4 linked regions of the Drosophila melanogaster genome follow. The protein of the gene in region 2 interacts with the protein of the main gene of each other region in a pairwise test. Each region holds a gene or a part of one and is shown on either strand. Other genes may lie near its edges. The genes, in order: CG14506, RpS9, CG32772 and EDTP.

What was found.
Region 1: the proteins of RpS9 (region 2) and CG14506 interact in a two-hybrid assay, tested with the Drosophila melanogaster proteins (one large-scale study listed by BioGRID).
Region 3: the proteins of RpS9 (region 2) and CG32772 interact in a two-hybrid assay, tested with the Drosophila melanogaster proteins (one large-scale study listed by BioGRID).
Region 4: the proteins of RpS9 (region 2) and EDTP interact in a two-hybrid assay, tested with the Drosophila melanogaster proteins (one large-scale study listed by BioGRID).

What each region holds. Positions count from the first base shown.
Region 1 is NT_033777.3:29,293,238-29,299,131, forward strand, and holds CG14506 (uncharacterized protein), read right to left. Parts: upstream 3,944-5,894; 5' UTR 3,858-3,943; coding exon 3,818-3,857; intron 3,757-3,817; coding exon 2,582-3,756; 3' UTR 1,924-2,581; intron 1,849-1,923; 3' UTR 506-1,848; downstream 1-505.
Region 2 is NT_037436.4:9,509,370-9,513,128, forward strand, and holds RpS9 (ribosomal protein S9), read right to left. Parts: upstream 2,163-3,759; 5' UTR 2,131-2,162; intron 1,937-2,130; exon of another isoform or gene 1,933-1,936; 5' UTR 1,910-1,932; coding exon 1,687-1,909; intron 1,521-1,686; exon of another isoform or gene 1,283-1,520; coding exon 1,096-1,282; coding exon of another isoform or gene 1,092-1,095; exon of another isoform or gene 790-1,091; coding exon 612-789; 3' UTR 521-611; downstream 1-520. Other genes in the region: CG3408 (uncharacterized protein), read right to left, coding at 1-83; CG33703 (uncharacterized protein), read right to left, coding at 2,639-2,800, 2,855-3,022, 3,076-3,291; CG33702 (uncharacterized protein), read right to left, coding at 3,428-3,583, 3,657-3,759. UniProt on the Drosophila melanogaster protein: Component of the small ribosomal subunit. The ribosome is a large ribonucleoprotein complex responsible for the synthesis of proteins in the cell. Part of the small subunit (SSU) processome, first precursor of the small eukaryotic ribosomal subunit.
Region 3 is NC_004354.4:4,907,124-4,915,145, reverse strand, and holds the start of CG32772 (uncharacterized protein), read right to left. Parts: upstream 6,045-8,022; 5' UTR 5,827-6,044; exon of another isoform or gene 5,695-5,826; 5' UTR 5,388-5,694; coding exon 5,349-5,387; intron 4,295-5,348; coding exon 3,968-4,294; intron 2,766-3,967; exon of another isoform or gene 2,635-2,765; intron 2,404-2,634; coding exon 2,271-2,403; intron 2,202-2,270; coding exon 2,017-2,201; intron 1,943-2,016; coding exon 1,363-1,942; intron 1,301-1,362; coding exon 1,002-1,300; 3' UTR 1-1,001. Other genes in the region: CG6927 (uncharacterized protein), read right to left, coding at 6,539-7,686, 7,741-8,022.
Region 4 is NT_033778.4:17,441,918-17,446,865, forward strand, and holds the start of EDTP (Egg-derived tyrosine phosphatase), read right to left. Parts: upstream 3,022-4,948; 5' UTR 2,536-3,021; coding exon 2,419-2,535; intron 567-2,418; exon of another isoform or gene 367-566; coding exon of another isoform or gene 1-366. Other genes in the region: CG18467 (uncharacterized protein), read left to right, coding at 1-366; mthl4 (methuselah-like 4), read right to left, coding at 3,389-3,503, 3,573-3,767, 3,834-4,002, 4,060-4,314, 4,377-4,553, 4,610-4,760, 4,820-4,948.

The sequences.
Region 1 (5,894 bases), on a different chromosome or scaffold from region 2:
TATTTACTTTAAAAACTTATTATTCCGCTTTGATAACATGATAGTTGTTGTAACACAAAGTCATTCCTTTTCGTTTAAAAGGAAAGTGCTCTAAACTGCTGCGAAATGTGTGGAAACAATATAACTCTTGTTACAATTACTAGATTTATTTGTCCCGCTAAAAATAAAAAACCTATGATATTACATGCCTTTAACAAGGCACGTTTTTACTATGACTATGGCCATTCATTGGCCTAGACAAAGGCCATTTAAAAACCCATTTCATACAATTAATAACAATAAAATTACACTAAAATTGCAACAACACCGCACACCCCCAACAAGGCGGAAGACAAAGGACACAAAGGCCATTGTCGCAGGATCTGATCCACTTGCCACCGCCGCCGCTATTCAAAGTAACTCGTAACTTTGGTCGCTTCATTCACGAAACGCACTGTACTATATAGTCGGCCACTGGGACACACAATGGGCGTGGCCCTGCGCACTCGACTTCGAAATCCAGAGACACCGAGTTGCAGGAACACATTGCACGTGCGTGAGTGCAACAATTGTCCTGCAAACTGCAATTGTGTCATGTCCTGATCGCTATTCTATCCTGTTTGTCCTGCACTGTCCAGCTAGAGAAGTGTAATTTTCCATTTAAGATCAACGATGTGAAAATTTCCAAGACGTGATTTTTACGTCGTTTTTTCCTTAAAGCGTAGCCATTGAGCTATTGTTTGCGTAGTTCATTAGTTGCCAGGACTCGAGTTCATTTCGATGGACACGTATATGTCGGGAAAATGCCGCCAAAAACGGTAGGTCGGATTTTCCTGCCAAACTTTGCCGCCTCAGCTGCGGTTGAGTGTTTTTTTTTTCGTGTGCTTCTTGCGAGTTTGGTGCTTCGAACATTAAACTAATTTATCACCAATATATGCCAGGATCCTGGGCGCACGGGCTGGGATGGGCTGGGAAAGGACACCCCTTTCGGTGGGAATCGCTCGTGTGTTGGACTTTTGTGTCTACTTACCATAATGAAAACATTTTCAAACATTTTATGCAAAGTCCTGACATGACCTTTGCCGAACCTCAACGCGCCGCGTCTCCCGTTGCGCTCGATGTCCTGTCCCGAGTGTCCTGAATGGGAACTGCAACACACACATGCATGTATATCTCATCCCATCCCTTACCGGTTCGTAATTTGCGATCTGAACTAGTTTTCGGCGTGGCCCTGTCATTATGTAGATTTTTCAGCCCGCGAGTACACGATCGCCCCACAAAAATTGGAAGGGGAATTCGAATACTTAGTGGAAGACACCGATGTTGTTGCTGTTAGTCGGGATGTTCCATGTTCACCGGGTTTGTTTACGGGGGTCATCAGGACTGGGATTTGTTCTCACAGGAAATATATGTGTGCTAGACCATAAACCTTGAAAGCACAAAGAGAACCAGATAACGATCCAGTCCAAATGTATCCACCGGCAAATGGGAAAAGGCAACACAAAGCCGCAATTTGGCTGGTGAAAATCATCGAGGTCGATCCATTTGCAGGACCATATACCCATTTATATGTGCAGCTCTACTACATATCCGCCTCCGCCGCGATGAGTGACTGCCGGGTTTGACTGTCTAAGCCGCAGGTACGAAGTGATTAAACGCCGAGCTATTGCCACCGCAATTAGGATCGCATCGGGATCGGGATCGGGATGCCCGAGATCCCAATAAAAGCCAAATTGAATCGGGGTCGGCAACGGAATTGAGAGCGGGGGCAACTAGTGCAGGACCTGCAAGGATGCAGCTGATAATGGCAAAGAATTGCGTCGTCACAGGTTCACAGAGATGGCCGGCCAAAAAGGAAGACAAGTAGTGCTGGGGGGGGGAGAAGGTAGAACAATTTTTTTAACATCAAACGAATAAAGGTCGCTCTCGCACACTCGTATTTACTGTGGAAAAGGGAGCTCCTGATTTGTTGCAAGATTTCTTCGTAAATGGCATAAAAAACTGCTCGAGAAACAAGGCGACAAGCCGTGGGATCGCCGTGGCCGTGGCTGTGGATCGTTGTTAAGATTGTTAATGGCACCCGACCTGTTCACGTCCACGCTCACACAATGTTGGACAATTAACACGGCCCAGCAAGAAGAAAGCCAGGTTTTTGGAGGCACATCCTTGGGAATGTCGGGCAGAACAGAGGCCGCGCTACAGAAATCAAGGCCCCCTATTTCATCGCATTTATCGCATTCCCGCGCCCCCTCTAGGAATTGTTCATATTTTGTGTATCATTCGGTCAGGGGCAGTACCGTCATCAGCTGATCCAGGGGATTAATTATGTTGACAGGTTGCTGCGATTCAAGTGCCTTTGAATTGGAATTGGAACTTTTTGTGTAATATGTTCACGTTTCATTCAAGCAGCTCCATTCATATCTTCCAGGAATCTAAGTCACATCCTTCGGCTTCCCTCAATTTAGAAAGTGTCCGACTTATGTAATGTATGCCATTTCCTTATAATGAAAGTGTTCTTTGAAGTTTCTTGGGAAATATTGCTTAACTATTGTTATATTGAATGATATATGATATGATAGATATGATTTGCATTTGGTAATTCCTACTCTTTCTGTGCGTACATCTGATCCGCAAACATCGAAATGCTGGGTCGGTCTTTCATCTCGCTGAGCTGTAGGTCGACGTAGTTCTTGGTCCGCCGATAAGCTGCCACATTAGTGTAGCAGTGATGGACATAGTTCTGACCCAAACTGGCTAGAACGGCGTAGCGGAGATCTGACTTGGAAACTTTTCGAAGAACAGGTTTGGGCTTAGGCACTAGGGGAGTGATCGGCAGAAGGCTCGGCAAGGATGGGAGCACTGGACTAGAGGCAGGAGGTGGTGGAGGTATTTTAAAAATAACTTTTGGAACGGCTTTATCACTAGGAGTTTGTGGCAGGGATGGGAGCACTGGACTAGAGGCAGGAATTGGTGGAGCTATCTTAAGAGTAACTTTTGGAACGGCTTTATCACTAGGAGTTTGTGGCCACTTTGGAGCTGGTGGCTCGACAGACTTGTGGGGCACGGCAGCCAGTTTCTTCCGTATGCTCAGTAGGAGCTTTGCCGAACTGGAAAGACCCTTTTCCAGGGCCCTCACCTCGTCTGAACTGGGTTCGAATTTCAACAAGTTAAAGCTCCAGCGGGAGATTCCAATGTCATTGGTTAATGCATAGGCATAGTTTCGATCAGATTTTACGGCGGTAAATGGACTATAGGACGTGGGTTCTACCAGTTTTTGAAGAAGCAATGATCTGTTAATTGGTGGCTTCGAATTCTTCTCTAAAGATTTGTGACCACTTTGTTTGGCGTCGTTTTTCTCTGCCTGCCTTACAGGAGCTTTGTGTGGCTGCGTTATCGTTGCCTTTGGTTTTTTTATGGTCCCAGAGTTTTGCTGACTTCCCTTATTTGTACTTTTTTCTTTCGCCTTGCGACAGTTCAATCGGTATCCCTTGATCAGATGTGGATTCGATTCGATGGCATGCTCCATGTATGAAGTGCGACTAAACCGCACCATGGCGTAGTTAAAGTTACTCATGCCATTCCTCACGCTGACCCTCTCCAAATCCCCAAATTTGCTGAAATAGGTGAACACATCCCGATGGGTAATGTCCTGGTCTAGGTCGGGAATGAACATCAGGCGATCGTGTTCCGGCTCGGGAGGCCGTCGTTCGGGTGGCTGGACTACCACTGTGCCAGGTTGGTACGTTTTCACCTTCTCTTGTAGGGAATGGAAATTTGCTAGGATTGTGGATAATTCAAAGTCCGTGAGAAGCTTAAAGTCCCCGATAGCCGTTCTCACCTGCCTTTTCCCCATAGACACTAGCTGGTTCCCTGGGCATGGCTTCCCCCAGCTGGGATTCACTAATCCTTGCTCTTTTTGGCGAAGGACACGAATCAAGTCCAGGCAAGTCCAATGGCGTGTTGGTCACTCCCAGGGGTTCTAGGGAAATCAAGGAGCTCCATGAACTATCCATGCTTTTTAAAGCCAAGTTGAAATATACTTGGTTGATAGACAAACCCAAAGCCAACTCTGATCAATGACTATTTATTATAAGAGTGGTGAAGTGGGGAGTTTTCCCTTAAAAATTGCCATTCATAGAAATAAATTCCCTAATTTTTACGCAGAATCTAAAGTCTTTCCCCTGAGGTTTCCCCAAATCCTTAAAAGTCAAACCTACTCAAACCTTTCCCATTGCATAAATGAAAATTGCACTTTCAGTTCATCGAGGCCTGGGAAAATTTTTATCCGTTTCGCACAAGGAAATGATTTGCCAAACTGAGCACAAATATTTTCATCGGAAATTTCATAAATATTTTATGAAACTGTAGGATCAAAGTCAAAGCCCCATTTAAGGTCCCCAGAGTGGCTGCCGTGCCATGAATGAATATTCGTAACGGTCGGCATTCCGGCTGCGATTCATGAAACTGTTGCCACCAAATCGTGGCCAAATGAAAGGAACCAGTAGGCCAAAGGCAAAAACCCAGCTGGAATGCGTTGGCAGTTTGAATGTCGCCTCAGGTGACAAATTGCAAGGCTTGCACAGGTTGTTCAGGTTGCACATAGCCGGTGTAAAAAGGACGACGACTCAATGACGCGGCAGGTTTCGTCGAAAAAATGTGCCATTTCGCACCTCCATAAAAACGTGTCCCGAATGGGTTTCCCTGTCATTTGCCATCAATGGACTGGGCGGCCTTCGGTTTCGGTTGCATAATGTTTGACTGCTGGGCGGAAAGTTGCACATGGCTTCTAATGTGCGATTTGCATTCGCAATCGGTCAAGGGTGCACCGGATGCGATGAATGTTTACCCAACTCGCAGAAATCAGGGCGCGCATCCCTTTCACGAATCCATCTGCCAGTGCAGATCCTGCACATCCTTTGCCACCCAGGTTACGTAAGCCATAAACAAGTGGACCATGGCGGACTAATAGACTTGTTGCCAAGGCCGCAGAGATCGCCTCCTTCTCACGCCTCGACTGCATCCGGGATTCCAGCTAAAAACGCGGCAATATCCCTCAGATACTCGGATACTTTGTGCGGACGTGAACTTCAGCCGTTTAGCCATTCAGGCATTCATTGATTCATTCATGAACATTCGCCCGCAAACAATAAGGACACAACTAGCAAATCTCTCTCGAGCACTTCAACGAACAATGAGGAGCCCAAGCAAATTTCGGTACGAGGACATTCAGTGTTCTCACGTTCATTTCGGCGATTTCCTTCGTCTTTGGGTGTTTTTTCGGCTCTTTTTTAATGTTGGCTTAAACCTCAAGTGACCGAGGGTTTGATGATGATTATGATGAGCTCACAGAGAATTTGCGAAAAAAAAAAAAACTAAACGAGAGAGGAGAAAGGAAAGCGGATACTCAGCCACTCAACCGGGTGTCCCGGCATCCTCATCATCCGCCGATCATCCCGGATATAGTTCGATATTTTTTGCGAGTTTCATCATAACGAAATTCCCTGAAATGCCCCAAGAACACATAATAATCAGAAGATAATGCCGTTGATTATCTCGGGAATGTCTATTCATCGCCTGGCGCTGTGTCCTTCGAGTCCTGCCGCCTCGAATTTCCCTCGCCGTGTGCGGCCTGCCAAAAAGTGAGAATTTATGAGGTTTTCACCAGCGCAGCTCTGGTGGTGAGGGAGTTTCCCTAGAAGTTGCGATTGGAGCCGTGCGGCAACTGTGGGAAAACTGCATTTTCCGGCCTGACTTTGGTGTCTACCAGGAATTTCGGCTTTTATCACGGATGCGAGATGTTGTCGTCTGTCGCTCATTGTTTGTACCAAACACAAATTTAATTTGATTACAAATCAGAGACAGGCACACATTTGCATTCAAGACTTTCCCAGTCACCCCGGAACCAAGAACTTAGA
Region 2 (3,759 bases):
GAGAGACTCAAGTCGCAGGTTTCGTCCACCACCCGCTCCTTGACGTTCACCTTCACCTTCGCCTTGTCACCGGGTTTCGGCATTTCGGCGACACTTGCTTATCACACTATTTATACGCGATTTATTCCGGCTGCTGTTCTTCCTCGTCACTTGGAGTTTGTGTTTACCCGAATCTCAAGTGATTTTCAAACGTTCGTTTTGTGAGAATGGCAATTTTGCTGGCGAAGCACACGAAAGCTCGGGAAATAACGAGTACTAAGTTGATAACGGCAGCATTTCGTTAGATTACTTCTCTGGGCACACTGGAGCCTTATCTGGAATTGCAGCTCTGACCGGGTATCGATAAATACTGCTTTTTTTTATTTCAGCAATATTAAAAAAGAAAATAATCTTTACATTAACCATATAACTTTTTTTGTTTTTGTTTAAAACTTCAATGTCTTATTTGCATATATTTCGATATCATCTTCGGCTTAACCCATTCTATAAACAAACATGCGCATTGAAACACATTCAACTTCGTGTATTTTTACATTTATTTGTGTAAAGCAAACGGATTTTTATCAAGTCTGCGCCATGTATTTGTCTTGGCTACAGCTGGCTACCACTGCTTAGTCCTCCTCCTCTTCAGCAGCTCCACCGCCACCGCCCTGGTTCTTCTTCAGGTTCTTCCTCTTGACGCGACCGGGACGGCCGCCGCCGAAGGGCGACTTCAGGGAGAAGTCGATGTGCTTCTGGGAGTCCAGGCGCACGACGAACGACGGGATGTTGACCACCTGCTTGCGGACACTGTGAAAACAAACGGAAGAAGAACACCATATTTGGATTAGTTAAGCTCTGCTTTATGATAACCATCGGAATGGTGGCTGCTATGTATGTTGGGTTCAACAAAAAACGTTCAGTGCAACTTACGCTAGGCGGGCATTTTGCATTTTCGATTGGTGTGAACGGAGTCACATGCGCAATCTACAGACGTTGAGAGTCGGTACAAGCATTGGCGCCTGTTCGACTCCCAAGTGGTCTTACTGAACAGAACAGAGTTTATATCTGAGAGAGCCTGGCGACGATGTTGTCGCCTGTCCAAGCGATATTTACCGAATGTGACGCTGACGGATCAGGACGCGAGCATGATGGATGGACTTGGCAAGTCCCAGCTTGAACACCTGCGTCTGCAGACGACGCTCCAAGAAGTCCTCAATCTTCAGACCCAGCACGTAATCGAGCTTCATGCGGGACTCGTCCAGGACACCGATACGGACCAGACGGCGCAGCAGGGCATTACCTGTGGGTAAAATGGGTACACAATCAATGGAAGTTTCAAAATGCAATCGCTAGTTCTAGCGAAGAATTCTCTTCAGTGTGTATTTGTTAACGTCAACGTATTTTATCAGACAAGAAGTGTCAGAATATATTTTTTAATACAGTTCATCAGGTCAGGGCAACTAATTGGATTATGCAGTCGAACTTCCTTCGCATATACATACTGTCTAGACATTTAAACATGCAATTTTGCAATATACAATGGAATAAATCCGGTCAACAGCTTTACACGTGGGTTGTTACGACTAATTAATTACGATTAATCAAAGCAATTAACAAAGTTTAGAAGTGGCTCTAAAAGTCGGGAACTAGTAGGCTGCTGTTTGAGGAAGTTCGACTGAATATATGTGTGTGCCTGGTACTTACCCTGGAACAGACGCTTCTCGTCCTTCTCGTCGAGGGTCAGCAGCTCACGAGCGGCCTTACGGATCTTAGCCAGGGCGTACTTGACGCGCCACACTTCGCGCTTGTTGCGCAGACCATACTCGCCGATGATCTTCAACTCCTGGTCCAGACGCGCCTTCTCATAGGGGCGACGGGGAGTCACGTAGGTCTTCGAGAAGACCGAGGGTATGCGGCCGTTCACCATGGTTCCGACAATTCAACCGAGCACTGCAAGGCAAAAGTTAGGTTAAATTCGGTTCGGAAATCACTGCGTATCTGCACCATCGTCAGTCTATTTCGCAAAAACTTTGAAATATTCAGCGTACCAACAATCGATTCAGACCTAAGTAGGCGAATTTGTTCTTTATCTTGAACATTATCATGTACTTTTTCAAAGTTTTTGCGGAGCTCATATTTTGTACTTACGGTTTTGCTCACGTTTAGAAAAAGAAAGAGGGGTGAAGGTAGTGTGACCAAAGTGTTTGATAGAAATACACATAATCCTACCACGGAAACTAAACGGTCACTCTATCGCTAACCACTAGAGATTTGACATGTAATTATACATTATGAAATTTATGAGTGGTTAACTAAGCAAAAGTTTTAAATGTAATTAATGTATGGAAAAAAAATAAGAAAAAACTTTTAATTAGTTAAAATACAATCCCATTGCGGAAAATATTTAATTTTTTACGATACTTCTTCTTCTCAACTTCAACTTCTCAAAGTGGCGTCTTTTCTAATGATGTGCCTGAAAGTGCTGTGTCGAATGTATATTGCATGAAATGTAATTTCAATGTAAGTGTTATACAGTACGTATACGTATACCAATGTTGTGTCAAATATTGAATACATTTAAGATGTAGTTCCAATGTAAGAAATACTGTAGACCTTTATTAGATTGAGCTATTAAGTATGTAAACCAATTTATCAGTTATTCCGAATAATTATTAACTCGCGTAGCATAGACTTTCACGTCTGTCCGCCATTTTTTCATCAGGGACGATCGCAAGTGGAACATGTAAACACCGTTTGGAATTGGAATCTCCTTTATTGTGTTTTCATCAACAGAAAAGCCGTTGAAAGTTATATTTTGCTAAAGGTTATACCATCAATGACAAAAATCAATCATCAACCCATTCGATCTCACCTGAAGCGGACATGTAGCATTCAAGTTTGAGATTCTCAACAGTGGAGTCATCAGAAATCCAAAAAATCCACTGGCCAAATACTGCCGACTAAAAAGACAATAGTCCAAAGTCTCATTCAGGAACTGAAAACGACGATTTTTAGCTATTCTAAAAACACCAAGGTTAAGCTGTAAAATAGGTATTCATTTATTTCTTCAGAAATGTTTACTTTTCAACTTACAACGATATCATCAATTGGATCTTTGTAGAGAAACACCTCACTAACATAGAGAGCAGCTCGACCATTTTCCCTGCGAACCACTTTACAAGTCTTAAAGTAGGTGAACGATGGATCCAAGGATCGACACTCCATCTTGCTGACTCTGAACACCCTCCCCTGGCTACAATCCAATATGATGAGTAACGGGAGCACTAAACTTAATAGCTGTTCTTTCATGTTGCCTCATCGATGGATGACTACGCTGTAGTCCGATTTGACGGCTGGTTTGCTTTGATTATTTAATATTGATTTTTCTGATCTCAGATCGACTTAATTTTAAACTGTTTTGGTTATTATTTTAACAATCCCATTATTAATCACGCACTCCAAACAAGTTGACCTGCAATCGCCAGACTCCAAAAGCCCCAACAGACACCACAAGTTTGTATTCACCAACAGGTAAAAAGGATAACAGATCCTTCAGCGTCTTATCGTTGAAAGTCATTTTCTTCACATAAATATCCTTCTCCTGTGGGCATAAAATATGGTGTTATGGTGTTACTTGACGTGAAATAACAATTGAGATACATGTTTGTACTTACTGTATATGGACACGAGTGGTTGGCATTGGTGGCTGCCATTAGGGAATCGTGAAACATATAGAATATCGGATATTGCTCTGGTCTGCGCATGTAATAGCAAAAG
Region 3 (8,022 bases), on a different chromosome or scaffold from region 2:
TTTTTTGTAATGGTTTATTAAAAAAAAAATAAAAACACTTAAGCTAATGCCTAACATAAATACATACCGAATTTAATCGAATTGTTTTTCACTTCTTGTTTTCGTTACTTTTCTCTATGCGTAATTACTATCAATTGTAGGTAATTTGTATTTGCTTTCTGTTTTTTTTTTTTTTTTGTTTTTTCAACATTATATTTTCCGTTTCGCTGCGCCTTTGCATTACAATAAAATTTTAATTCGATTTAAGTTTTACAGATTTCTCAACCCGATCTCATGTTTATATAATATAATGTATATATAGATGTGGGTGTTATGTGCATAATTTTATAAGTCAGTTGTGTTTTTGTCTGTCCATCTGGTGCTGCTGCTTTTTCTCCTTATCTCTTTCGATGTCATGCATTGCTGCTAATATTCTTGGAAATTTATTCAGGGGCATTTGGTTCCTCTATTGCTTTGGCTGCTGAATTCAAAACAGGAAGTGGGAGACAGACACCAAACTGAACCAGCAGCTTGCCGCCGACTCTAAATTCGGGATGTTTTGGAAGTCCACTCGCCGATTTCAAGATAATTAAGTGGATTCTGATACCCAAAAAGTTGATGCTGAACTCAATGCGAGAGTAGGACAAGTGCATCTCAGAAAAACTAAAAGCTAGCTTTAATCGATGAACTCGACTAACTCCCCCATTCCATTCTGATTCAGAATTCAAGGACGAAAACGCTTCCTACTGCCTGTTCCATACCTTTTTTTCACCAATCCAGCATACGCTTAACTCCACGGGTAACGCATATAAAGAATGATTTCTACATCAACTTCAGACACCCAAAAGTATTTAGAGATCTGCAGAGACTCCAAAACATCCGCGCCATATATCTAACATATTTTACGTGTGTATGTGCTGAATGTGATGCTACTTTGGCTATGGCTATGCTAATCAGGGACTTTAGCAGCTGATCGTTCGGGGCTTAAGCTAAAAGAGACCTTCTTTCCATTCTTAACTAGCCTACTTAGTGGGTATGAAACGCGCCTTGACCGCCTGTCCCATCGGCAAGTGCAGCAGTTGCTGCTGCTGCGCCGCCTGCTGCTGTTGTTGCGCCGCCTGCTGCTGCTGTTGTTGTGCCGCCTGCTGCTGCGCCTGCTGCTGTGCCGCCTGCTGCTGCATGTGCTGATTGATCTGCTGCTGGATGGACAGGCCGCTGACATTGCTGATATGCTGGCTGTGGAGCGATTCGTTGATCTCGATCTTGATGGCCGTGGCGGCCAGCGTTGTCGCCTTGTTCTTGTTCTTCGGCGGACGCCCACCTGGATATGCAACGAAAGGCGTAGTGAGATTCAAAGTGAATGAGTGAATGGTGAGCACTTACGTTGCCCTGTCGTGTGCTGCAGTGACAACGGCTGGCCGATCATCGCCAGCGGCTGTTGCGACGTCTGCAGCGTGCCCGCCTTCTTGGATCGCTTCGGAGGCGGCAGCTCGTGGTGGGCGTGATTGGTGAGCAGGTGCTTGGAGAGGTGCTGGCGCACCGCAAAGGACTCGGCACAATTGGCCACCGGACAGGAGAGGTAGCGACCCTCGACATGGCGCTGCACGTGCTTCTTCAGCAGCGACTCCTGATTGAAGCTACTCGGGCAGATGTCGCACTTGAACTTGAACTCGTCGTGCATCTTGAGGTGCTGGTCGAGATGGGCCTGCTGCAGGAACTTCTCGTCGCACTTGTCGCACTCGTACGGAAAGGCCAGGCCGTGGGTCTTCATGTGCGTATGCAGCTGCGACTGCAGTTTGAAGTTCTTCTCCGGACAACGCGGACAGTAGTAGCCGGTGACCCCAGCGTGCGCCTGCAGGTGCTGGTTCAGCGAGGTCACCTGCGTGAACTTCTTGTTGCACACGTTGCAGCAGTACTGCTGCACCTTGTGGTGCGACTTCATATGGTTGTTCAGGTTCGTCACCTGCAATGCGAGAACATATCGAGCCGTTATTATCATAAATCCTCTGCAATTTATCAATTTATCTTGGAACTGACCTGGGCGAAGCTGCGACCGCACTCCGGTTCATTGCAAACGAAGGGCCGTTCGCCGGTGTGCAGCCGGCGGTGATTGTTCAAATTGGTGATCTGCGTGAAGGTCTTGCCACAGTCCACGCACTGATATGGCCGATCGTTCGTGTGGATGCGTTCGTGGTTCCGCAAGTTGGCCGCCTGCGTGAAGCCTGAAAATCCAAGAGGTACATCGATTGTTAAGAACCAGATGATGTGTGCGAACGGCATATGGGACTCACCTTTGTGGCAGTAGGTGCACACAAACTTACGCTCCGCCGAGTGATTTCGTATGTGCGTCATGAGCGAGGATTTGCGCGAGAAAGTTTTGTTGCATAGCGGGCAGGAGCCCTCCTCGTTGAATATCAGATCCACCTTAAAGAAACAAATCGAACATTAGTTGCAAAGGGCTTGCCTTCTACCGCGGGTTACCTTCCATCAGAAAGGCATTATATATGATATGCCATTTTACTTTAATACAACCTACTATAAATTTATGCGAAAAACCTTTTTTCTAAGCTGTACATTATATATGCATATAGTTCTAACGAATAAGTAGCCAAGTGCACATCACTGTGTCACTATCGCCCTCCCACTCCCACTCACGCTCAACAAGCTGGCGGCCAAAAGAACGGATTGCAAATTCCCGTGCGAATTCAGTTTGTTTATTGGGGAATCACTTGAGTTACATTTAATATTTTTCACGAGCTTTTTTTTTATTATAATTATTTTATTTATTTTTCTGCGTGCCACGCACACCCACACACCAAAAGCGCCAACTGAAAATGAATTTTTTCCGCTTTACACAGCGCACAAAAACGCCGAGCTGCGTCGACTTCGACGTCGACGTCGACAGAGCAGATATTAATGGAAAAAGAAGCACAAAATATATGTGTATATACATATATCTATATATATATATATATATACATATAAATATAAAGGAAAACAAGAAAATGAGCAGTGCGAAATGTAGCAAGTGGAATAGAAAATACTCTCACGCTCAACACTTTTCTAACCCGTTTGTAATGCATATCTGTAGGGCCTACCGTTTTTAATCTTCTATAAGAACTTTCCAACACTACCACGTCGACTGTGTGATGGAATGAGACTGTACTGAAGTTTTTTTTTTGAAATTTATGTAAATAGCAGCAATAGTAAATAGTATCTAAACATGTCTGCAATAGAGCATTCCCAAGTCGTCGCAAGGCAATTTTACATTTATTTATACATTTTTTTTTTTTGCAATTCTCTGTTGCATGATGGAAAAAGAAAGGCAACAAGAACATGCAAAGAAACGGCGAAATAAGAAGTGAAGAAGAAAAGCAGCGGCTATGAATGTGCAGTGTGTCCGTGTGCATTTATGTATATGTATATGTAAGACTTTTGTGAGCGGGGGAGTAGTAGTGAAATGTAAGAAAATGAAGAGAAAATAGCACAACAATAATAAACAAGTGCAGCAAAAGGAGCAGGAGTCGAACTCCCTGGGAAGTAAAGCACTCTTCTGAAAACGGTTGATGGGGGTCTTCAAACCCCTATAATTCCAAATGCAATGCATCTACTGAGGATTGCAGTGAACTCTGTAATTAGGTTTAAATTGTCAATTTTTTTGAATCATTTATAGTTTGATGGGCAATTGCATTGATTGGATTCCTAAACCATAGAACACTTTTCGTGGACTATTAAACATTAGGATTAAATTTTAAATTTATTCATAGATATTAATATACATATTCAAGACGTTCATATTTTAGTTGAAAATAAGAACGACCTTCAGTTATTTACTTTATTTATCTCCTTTAGTAAGCCCTTTGCAGCACTGTATTCGCTGCCACTTCTTGCCATGCCTCTCGTAACACTACACGTAGTGCAACCCACTCACTATGCCCTTTGCAACACTCTCCCTGCCTTGGTATCCCAATCCCTGAAATGGACTTACGTCTTCGGAGTCGTCCTGCGACTGTAGGTTCTCGGAAGAACTGGATGATTGCATTTGCTGCTGTTGTTGTTGTTGCTGTTGCGAGTTCTGATGCTGCTGCTGCTGCGGATTCTGATGCTGCTGCTGCTGCGCGATGGCGTCGCTGTCGCTGGAGGAGGCCGTCGACGAGGAGGTGGCCGCCGCTGCTGCAGAGGCGGCAACTGCGGCCGAGGCAGAGGCAGCGACGGCTGCAGCGGCCGCCGCCGACTGATGGAAGTTGGAATTATTTGTCAACTGCTCCGAGCAGCGGACGCACGTGGGTATGCTATAGCCGGGCACCTGGAACAACTGTAGGGCGGGGGAATAGAATAGAACAGAACAGGACACGTGAATTAGAGAGTGCTTCCAATTGGAAAAAAAAAACCAATAATGCTCTTTATTTATTGTGGCAACTCAATCTTATTCCACACATACCCTCCCCCTTCCATGCCAACTAGCCCTTTCTCTTTTCCACCAACTAGAAATAAGAGCCAAGAAGATAAACACACGCACACACACAGGCACGCACACATGGAGAGCGAAAAAGAAAGAAAAGAAACTACAATAACAACAGCACCAGCAGCTCGTTGCTTTGTTGTTGTTGTTTTCATTTCATGTTATTTTTTTTCTTCGGTACAACGTTTTGTTATTCTTTCGCTTTTTGTTTTGCTTTGCCGCCGCTCTGCCAGCGGCGGCGGCAGAGGCGTCGCCTACAAAAAAGGGGTTATTTGGTAATTGTTTAAATAATGAACTAAAAACCAAGCAAAGTTAGATCTGTTTTGTTAGTTTTATAACCGCTTAACTTTAAATTTTTGGGCTTAGATGCCCAATATAGTAAACCCTCTGTCACTAAATTAACGCGCAGCCACTGCGTATTTGGCTGCCTTGGCGCAATTTCTGTCATTTTGTTTTAATATGTATTTCTTTTTGTGCGGTTCATGGGCGGCGGGAGGGGGCTGAAAGAGGGGGGCCTGTTCGGGGGAATAGGTTGAAAAGGAGTCAAAGTGAAAAGCGAGTGGCGAGCGTAAGCAAAATGTAAAAATAATATTTTTTCAAGTTGTCGGCTTGAACAACTTTTCGGGCTGAGTTGGCTAAAAATAAAAATTGTTCAGCAATAGTTTGGGGTCGCATGTGTATGTGTATTTCTTATTTCTGTGTGTGTGCGTTTGTATGTGTGTGGGGAAAGGGGGGCAATGCGCGCGCTTTTGAACCCCGCCCCCTGCGCCAACAACCCGCCCGCACAATAACAGTAGCGCGAATTCAATTGTTTAAACTCCACCAAAAGAAAAAAAATCAATAGAAATAACAAAGTGTATATACCTAAATCACATGTGTGTATATCTTTTTTTTTTTGTTAACATACCGTTGCCGTTTGGAAGCACAATCTACAGATGGTGTCCATTATAACAGTAAATAAGGAATAGGATGGGGAGCAGGAGAAGGAGGATGCACTTTGTTGCTGACTTTTGCCCCCTCTGCGGTCGTTGTTGTTGTTGTTGTCGTCCTTCTCCCTCGCAATTTACCGCTATCTTTACCGGTTAACATTCAGCGCCGTTTTTCTTTTTCGTTTATTATTATTTAGTTCGTTTTTTTTCTATCTTTTTCCTTTTCCTTCCTACTATAAGTTTGTGAACACGATCCAAACGATGTGTGGTTGTATTTGAAACTAACTTTTTGGAGTTTGGTTTGCGTTTGGATTTCGGTGATCGCTATATGGCATATTATGATGGCAAAAACAAAAAAAAAACTATATAAATGATATAGAAATTTGATTTATACGATATTTTCGTGGTACACACACACACGCGCGTTGTTTATGTTTGCCTTGCACTTGCACATACAAGCAAAAATGCGGCGCTGTTGTTGTTGCTGCTTCGAAGTTCTGCTTCTTTTTTTTGCTTAATTCCTTTGCCCTTTTTTTGGCGTAGTTACACGTGAAAAAAAAAACAAACCAGCGCGTTCGAATGCGTTTTTTTTTTGTATTTTACAATTCACGACGAAGTTTTTGTCCGTCGTCTTTTTTCCCTTTTTTTTGGGGCCCGATGTTATTGTTGCGCTGTATGCGTGAGCCGTGTGTGTGTATGTGTGGGGAAAAAACGAATACGATAAGAATACGCGGTATAGTTGTGCTGCTCTAACCCACAGGTTGGCTTGGCCGGTGCTCCTTGGCCTGGCCTATCGATATTTCTATCGATTTCCGTAATCGAAAACGAGGCGGGTAATGGAATCGTTGTTGAAAACAAGTTTTTTAATTTATTATTTATTTAATATTTAATTGCAAGTCCGAAAGATTTATTTTATCATAGGTTATTTTATTTAAATAATTGATGGTGTTTTTTAGGCAGCCATAGAATCATGAACTTTATTTTACAACAGAATAAATATAAAATCATTTTACAGAACAAAGTGAAACAAACATAATACAAAACTTTCACAATAATTAAACAAACTATGCTAAACGATGGGTACAAATAATAAACACTTTAAATTGGATACTTTTCACAATATTAAATCTACTGTGTAATCTAATAATAAAATGAAATGGACCTTTTTTTAAATACAGTAGACAAATGTCCAGAAAAACAGATTAAAGACGAGAAAGGAGAGCGGAAAAACGAATCTGGCTCGACTATCAATCCACATGGCTATTTCCTGGGGCGTTAGCGTGGTCCAGCCACTCAGATCGATCTCCTCCTGGTGCCCCGCGCTCTCCGTTCGGTTATTGTTGGTCAAAGTTTGGCTGCTGCTGGCAGCACTGATCGCTCCAGTGGACTGGGCAGAGCCCATGGATCCAAAGGCACTCTCCACAAAGTTAACATCCATCTTCTGGACGACGCGGCTGGTCCTCTGCTGATCCAGAACTTGGCCCTCCTTAATCGTGGTGATGGGCAAATTGACGGTTAGGTAATTGTTGAAACCGGCACCGCCCAGCGAGCCGGTATCCGCTGTCTTATGCAGAGCCGTGCCCGAAAAGGATCTGGATCTGGCGTGACTGCGTCGTCTGAGCAGATTCGGCGATAGAGTTGACTTCAGGATGTGTTTGCTGTTCAGTTTCTTGACGGGCACACTCTTCTTACGACGCCAAATCGTGTTAACAAAGGCGAACTCCACCATGCTGCCAAATATGAAGATGGTGCAGCCCAGGAACCACACCTCTGACACCTTGATGTAGCTAACCTTTGGCAGAGTCTTTCCCTGTGCCGAGGCCAGGGTAATGAATGTCAGCAGGGTGCTGGTGCCCAGCGTGATGCGCGGCGGCGCCTGATCTGCTTGCAGCCAGAACGATACCCAGGATATGGCCACAATCAGCATGGAGGGTAGAAAGTAGTCCATCAGGTAAAAGCCAACCACTCGCGTCAGGTGAACGGTGAAGCTGAGGGAGCTGTAGTTGCCGGCAAAGGCTCCATGACGCAGGTCACTCAAATCGGCATTGATTACCGTCTCGTTTGACCAGGAACGCTGCAGCACAAACTCGGTGAGATGCAGTGCCCCATCGTAGGTTATCGGACGCTTCTGCTCCCAGTGGAGGACCAGTTCCGACGTATTGTACATCCAACTCTCCAGCACCGTCGAGCAGTGCTGCTCATCGAATGGGAACTTCTTAAGGTTGAGCCAGCAATAGAGTGTCGCCTTGATGCGATTCGAAACGATCACTGTGCCATCGGGCGATATCGAGGTGAGGATGTCCTTCTCCGTGAGACCTACCAATTAGTTGCAATCAAGCACGAGTCTACTCCAGACTCTACCGTACTCACCCAAAATACTGGAGTCGCGCTCATTGGCTAGAAATATGTGGGGCATCCAGAGCGAGTTTCTCAGGTGCTCCTCGCCCAAAATCGGCTGCCTGCGCTTGGGACTTACGTTGCGAAAGTTGAGACGCGGATCGAGGTATCGCATTTGGAGGAGCGCATAGATCTTGAACTGTAGATCGTGTGCTTCCAGGTTCTGCATGAAGTAGATGTAGGCGCGCATATAGACGTCCACCGGTAGCCGCTGGCCAGTTTCCGAATAAGTTATGGGTCGTTCCAAACGATCGT
Region 4 (4,948 bases), on a different chromosome or scaffold from region 2:
TTGAAGTTTGCCCAGAGCAAGGCAGCGGGCTTTTCCAAGGTCGATCCAAGTCACTACCACGAAGTGGAGCGGACCATGGGTCTGCTGGCCTTCGATCGGCCGGAATACAGTCCCTACGGGGAGCTGATGTACTACTCATATCGCCAAAAGGTGGCCGGTGAAATGAATGCAGCCATGTTACGCTGCCACGAGGATGAGAGTAAGAGCAAAGAGGAGCCCATGGAGCCAAGAATGATGTTCCTCATCAAGCTAATCCTTTGGGCCCAGGCCAAGCTGGATCGCGAGGGATTCACCGACTACCACAAGCTTGATCTTGGCCACGCGGATTTCGAGGAAGAGTTCCGCCGGAGTTTCCAGGGTTTCTAAGTCCATAAGCATACAATAATTGTCCAACGATTGTCGGTCGGCGTCTACTGCGAAACTTTTTAAATGTACGTTGATTTTTTTTTTTTAGCAAATCTACATATATAAATGTATTTTTTTTTGTGGTGAACCAACATAAATAAGTGTAATTTTTTTTGATGGATGTTGAATATTAAATATTTCCATGTCTTGATGTAAATTGGAGCAAACTCAATCTTATTATTCACTCGATTTTTTTCTGAGTCCTTTTAAGAGGATTGCTTGTTTTTGGTTGCTGCGATAAGACGAGGAGTAAAACTTATGAATTTGGAAAGCTCTTCAATTTCAATTTAAAGATTTCCAAATATATTTCAGGTAGCAATATTATCTTTAGCTGCAATTTAAATGCCATTTTGACCTTATTAGCTCGTATATTTAACCCATTTAATGGTTCTTACATACGTTCTCTGTAAGCTATAAACCTCATCGCCTGCCTACGTCATTTGCTTAGGTATTGTGACTTTGGCTGGGCGAACGCCTAATCTAATCGGTGTGGCTAAACTTAACCCTGAACCCCGAGGAGACTGGGAAATAAACAAGTGAGAGAGAAGCGCACACATAATTCACCCTTTGCACCCCATCAAAAATGCAATGCTTTGTATCAAGGGGCAGTAGCAGCGTTTTGTTTGTGCCTTCGAATAGCTGGCAGATAGATAAGGAATAGGAAAATACTTGTGGAAAATCAAATCGAAGGTTGGCGCCCTGGTTGGTGATAAGACCTAGCCATTGTTTGATAAAAACATACGTTTGCAACAAAGTTTGCGGTAGCGGTTAAACATTCACAAGTAAGTATGCACATATGTATGTATGTATGTACATATTTATGTGCCGATTGCAGCTGAACAAACCGATGTAAGATCGTCGCGGAAACGTGAGTTACGTGCCAAGTTCCCACTTGGCTTTCCTCGCTCTGTTTCCAGGCAGCCTGGCTCGGGGATTTGGCTTAAATATATTCACCAGCACTGGCATGCAAATGAGCAGCGGCTGTTGCCAAGTTGCCATTACAATTGTTATTCTGTGTTATTGCCGGTTAAGCGGGCGATAAGATGGCATTACACACTGGACTATTTAAAAGGCGTGCGTGACATTCGAGGGGGGTAAAATGGATGAACGGGTGCAAGGGGATGAGCTGAAGGCAAAAGACAAAAGTTGAATTCGAGTGCGTGTCGTGGAAAGAAAATGCACATTTATGCGTGGGTCAGGGGCGGGCCTAAAAAGGCCGTTGTTAGGCTTTTAATTATCGCTTAGCACAGCTTAGTGGGATATTGAGTTTCAATGGCAATTCGAGAACAAAAGCCATTAGGAAGTTTCCGGTTTCGGAAAACCTGCTTACTCGGGATTTCCTAGTTGAAATTGATTTAATAATCAAAATGAATGCAACTCGATAAGGAACTCTGAAAGCTGAAACTTAATATTTAATTCTTATCAATTAATTAAAAATTTGCTAAGAAACGGAATAGAAAAATCAATTAAATTAAATAATATTAGGACCATAAAATGTATGTTAATAGAAATTATACAAAAATACCGTTTATTGCTCATCTTATTTAAAAAAGATATTTTAATTAGTGATTAGTGCTCTTATAGGTAACAACCTTGATTGACTACCAAATTGGAAAAGCTATCCCGTGATTAATTCTGCTCTTTGAGAAAACGAACCATTAAGTCCTTCAAACGACATGTTTTACCGCCTATTGATTGCCATGAAAATGCGATTTTCCTCGCAGGAAGCTTAATGGCAGCCATTTTGAGTGGCTCAGTATTTTCGGGGCGCGGCAGAAGGAAGACGGCGAGGGAGAGGAGCGCAAGAAAGGGAAGAGAATAAGAGCAATAGGAGGACAGGACATTATGACGTGTCCTCGGTGTAAGCGCCACGCACACTAGCACAACAGGCATATCATGCATGGGTGTGTGTGTGTCTGCGTGTTTTTGCGGCGGCAGCACGTGCACGTGCGCCTAAATGTATGTCACACACACAGTCACAGACACAAGCACACACTGGTACCGTTAACTTACCGCCGTCCCTTCCTCAAAGGCCGCCGCCTCGAAGGACTTTTTTTCGAAAGTTTCCAATAGATCGTGTAGGTGCTGCTGCGTTACGTTTACCATGTGGTTTGGCGTCAGGCTGCACATTTTTGCGGCGCTGCATTTACCGTTATATTCCTTTATATCTTCTTAATCACACACACACACAGGCACTTAACACACACGACACTGGCAAAAGCACAAGCCCACGCACACACGTTTACGCTCGCAGAAAGACGCCGAATATGAACAATATTTCCCGTGACTTTTCTCTTCTCGCGTATTGTATTTTATCTGCTGCGTATTTGAGTCGCGTTTATCGCTTCTACGCCGTTTACACGTTTCGCTTTCGCGTTTGTTTGCTTTGCTTTGCTTTTTACGCCCTAGAAGACGGCGTATGCGACGTCATCAAATCTTTGCGGCCGCAAACGCAATTTAATTTTTGGCCCCTGCGCTTACGATTAGTGCTACTAGTGTTGCTGTCGTCGTTGCGCTCGTAATTCCGTTTGTATAAAAATGAGCTACGTAATATATTATATTCGCAACGGAGGAAAGCGACAAACGTCAAACAGCCGCGACTAAAAAAACAACATGAAATTGTAGTGGTGGAGAAACATCGATGACCCCCGATGCTTAATCGATTAGAAAAAGTTTTCTGTAATCGTTTGGTACTTGCCAGTGGTGGGCCAGCATTGTTGACTCAAACCCTGGTTTGAAACAACGGTGCCAGAAATATTTCTACATTTTGTCTTACAAAAAAGTTGATGATCCGAAAAATATTTTGCTGTATTGCCCCATACTTTTCCTGTTTTTTGTACCCTTTAATATATTTTGCTTTATATGTTCCAAGACATTATTTATTGTCTTGATAACAAATATTTTTTTTAAACTTTTGCTCCATAGAAAATTAAAATAATGTGATCAATAACAGAGACGTTGCATCTTATTGAATTCCATTTTTTTAGCAGTAAGCGTTTGGATCCGCAATTGATCCTTCACAAGCCGTATGAGTTGAATTATATCGAGCTGCTTTTGATCTCGAATTATGGTGACTTCCTGGGAGGTTTTGACGTCCCCTAAATCAAAAGATTGTTCATACGTATGAGACGGTCAAATTTCAAGGTTATTTGTAATACTTTACTTACCCTGCTATTATAAGTTTTAGAATGCTAGGCTTTAAAATAAAAAGCACGAATATGATGGTACCCTGGGACCAATTAAAGTAGTCAGCCACCATTAAAGCCCTAGCCCAAGCTTGCTGTTTGGTTAACAAAAAGGATAATATCTCAAAGCTCCACGACAAACCCATTAAGATGAAAAGTCGCAGGAATATAGCAAACCTATAAAAGATTACAAAAAGTGCCATTTGACATTATAGTTATTATCTTATAATATAATATAATTACATTTGTTGGTCATTTATCTGTTGGTTTGTTTGTTGCTTGTGGACAAGGCCTTTCACATTTTTCTTTATGTTATATATGTAAATCGCCGAAAGGACAAACATTATTATGTTGAAAGCGATTAGCAACAGCATCGGGCCATAGAAGTAGATCATGACAGTCATATCGCCAGCTGTTGGTTAACAAAACGAGTTACACCGTAATTGTAATTATAGGAATAGTAACTTACTGTAGATCCAACAATTTTTGCCGACGCCCACGCGGGGTCTCAACTTCTCGTTCTTAACCACCTGGTCAGCTGTATAGGTGATTGCAGTCATGATTAGCGGTATACCCCAGGCGTATAAGTTGTATGCACGGAACGGATTTTCTGGCAGCAATCGGTGCAAACAGTTAGAGGCTAGACTAAACTTAATCCGCAAGTGGATTCCAATCACAGAAAGCCAAAAGAACGCGGCCATGACGGAGAAGTAGCCCAGGAACCCTGATCATGATATCGAAATGTGAAATTAGTCGTCCTTTATCTTGTAATCGCCACAAGCAAACCTGCTGTAACGCAGAAGCCGGAGGAGTATTTCCACACGTTGAGGACCAGGAAGAAATAGCCCAAGAACAAAGAGGCCAAGTAGCAGATGAAACACTTTCCGTGCAGGTTGCGAAGCTTCTCGACATAGAGGTACACGCTGATCGTTAGGATTATGCATATCAAGGATATCACTATCGCTGTGAGAAAGGACATTAACTAAAAACCTTAAAGTCAAGCAGGGAATTCAGCTTACCAACGGTCTTCCACGTTCTGGAGTGCTCAGACGAAAGTGGACAGAAGTGGGGTGCAATTCGGATACTATCATCCTTAAATGAAAGATGCTGGACGCAGTACTCCCGCTTGCTCAGTTCCACTTTGTCCCAGTGACGCAGAAGAGAGCCGTTCTACAGAGATTCAAAAAAGGTTACGATCTTCAGAAGTGACAGAAACACAGGAAAGTAACCTCAAACAGAGTGAATTCATTGCCCGGCAGTTCGTGATTCAAAAAGTACATCCGGGGACATCCGGGCTTGGCCAGATCCGACTGCACGATCAGATCCTCCTTGAAGTGTCTCCTGACCACCGACCCGTC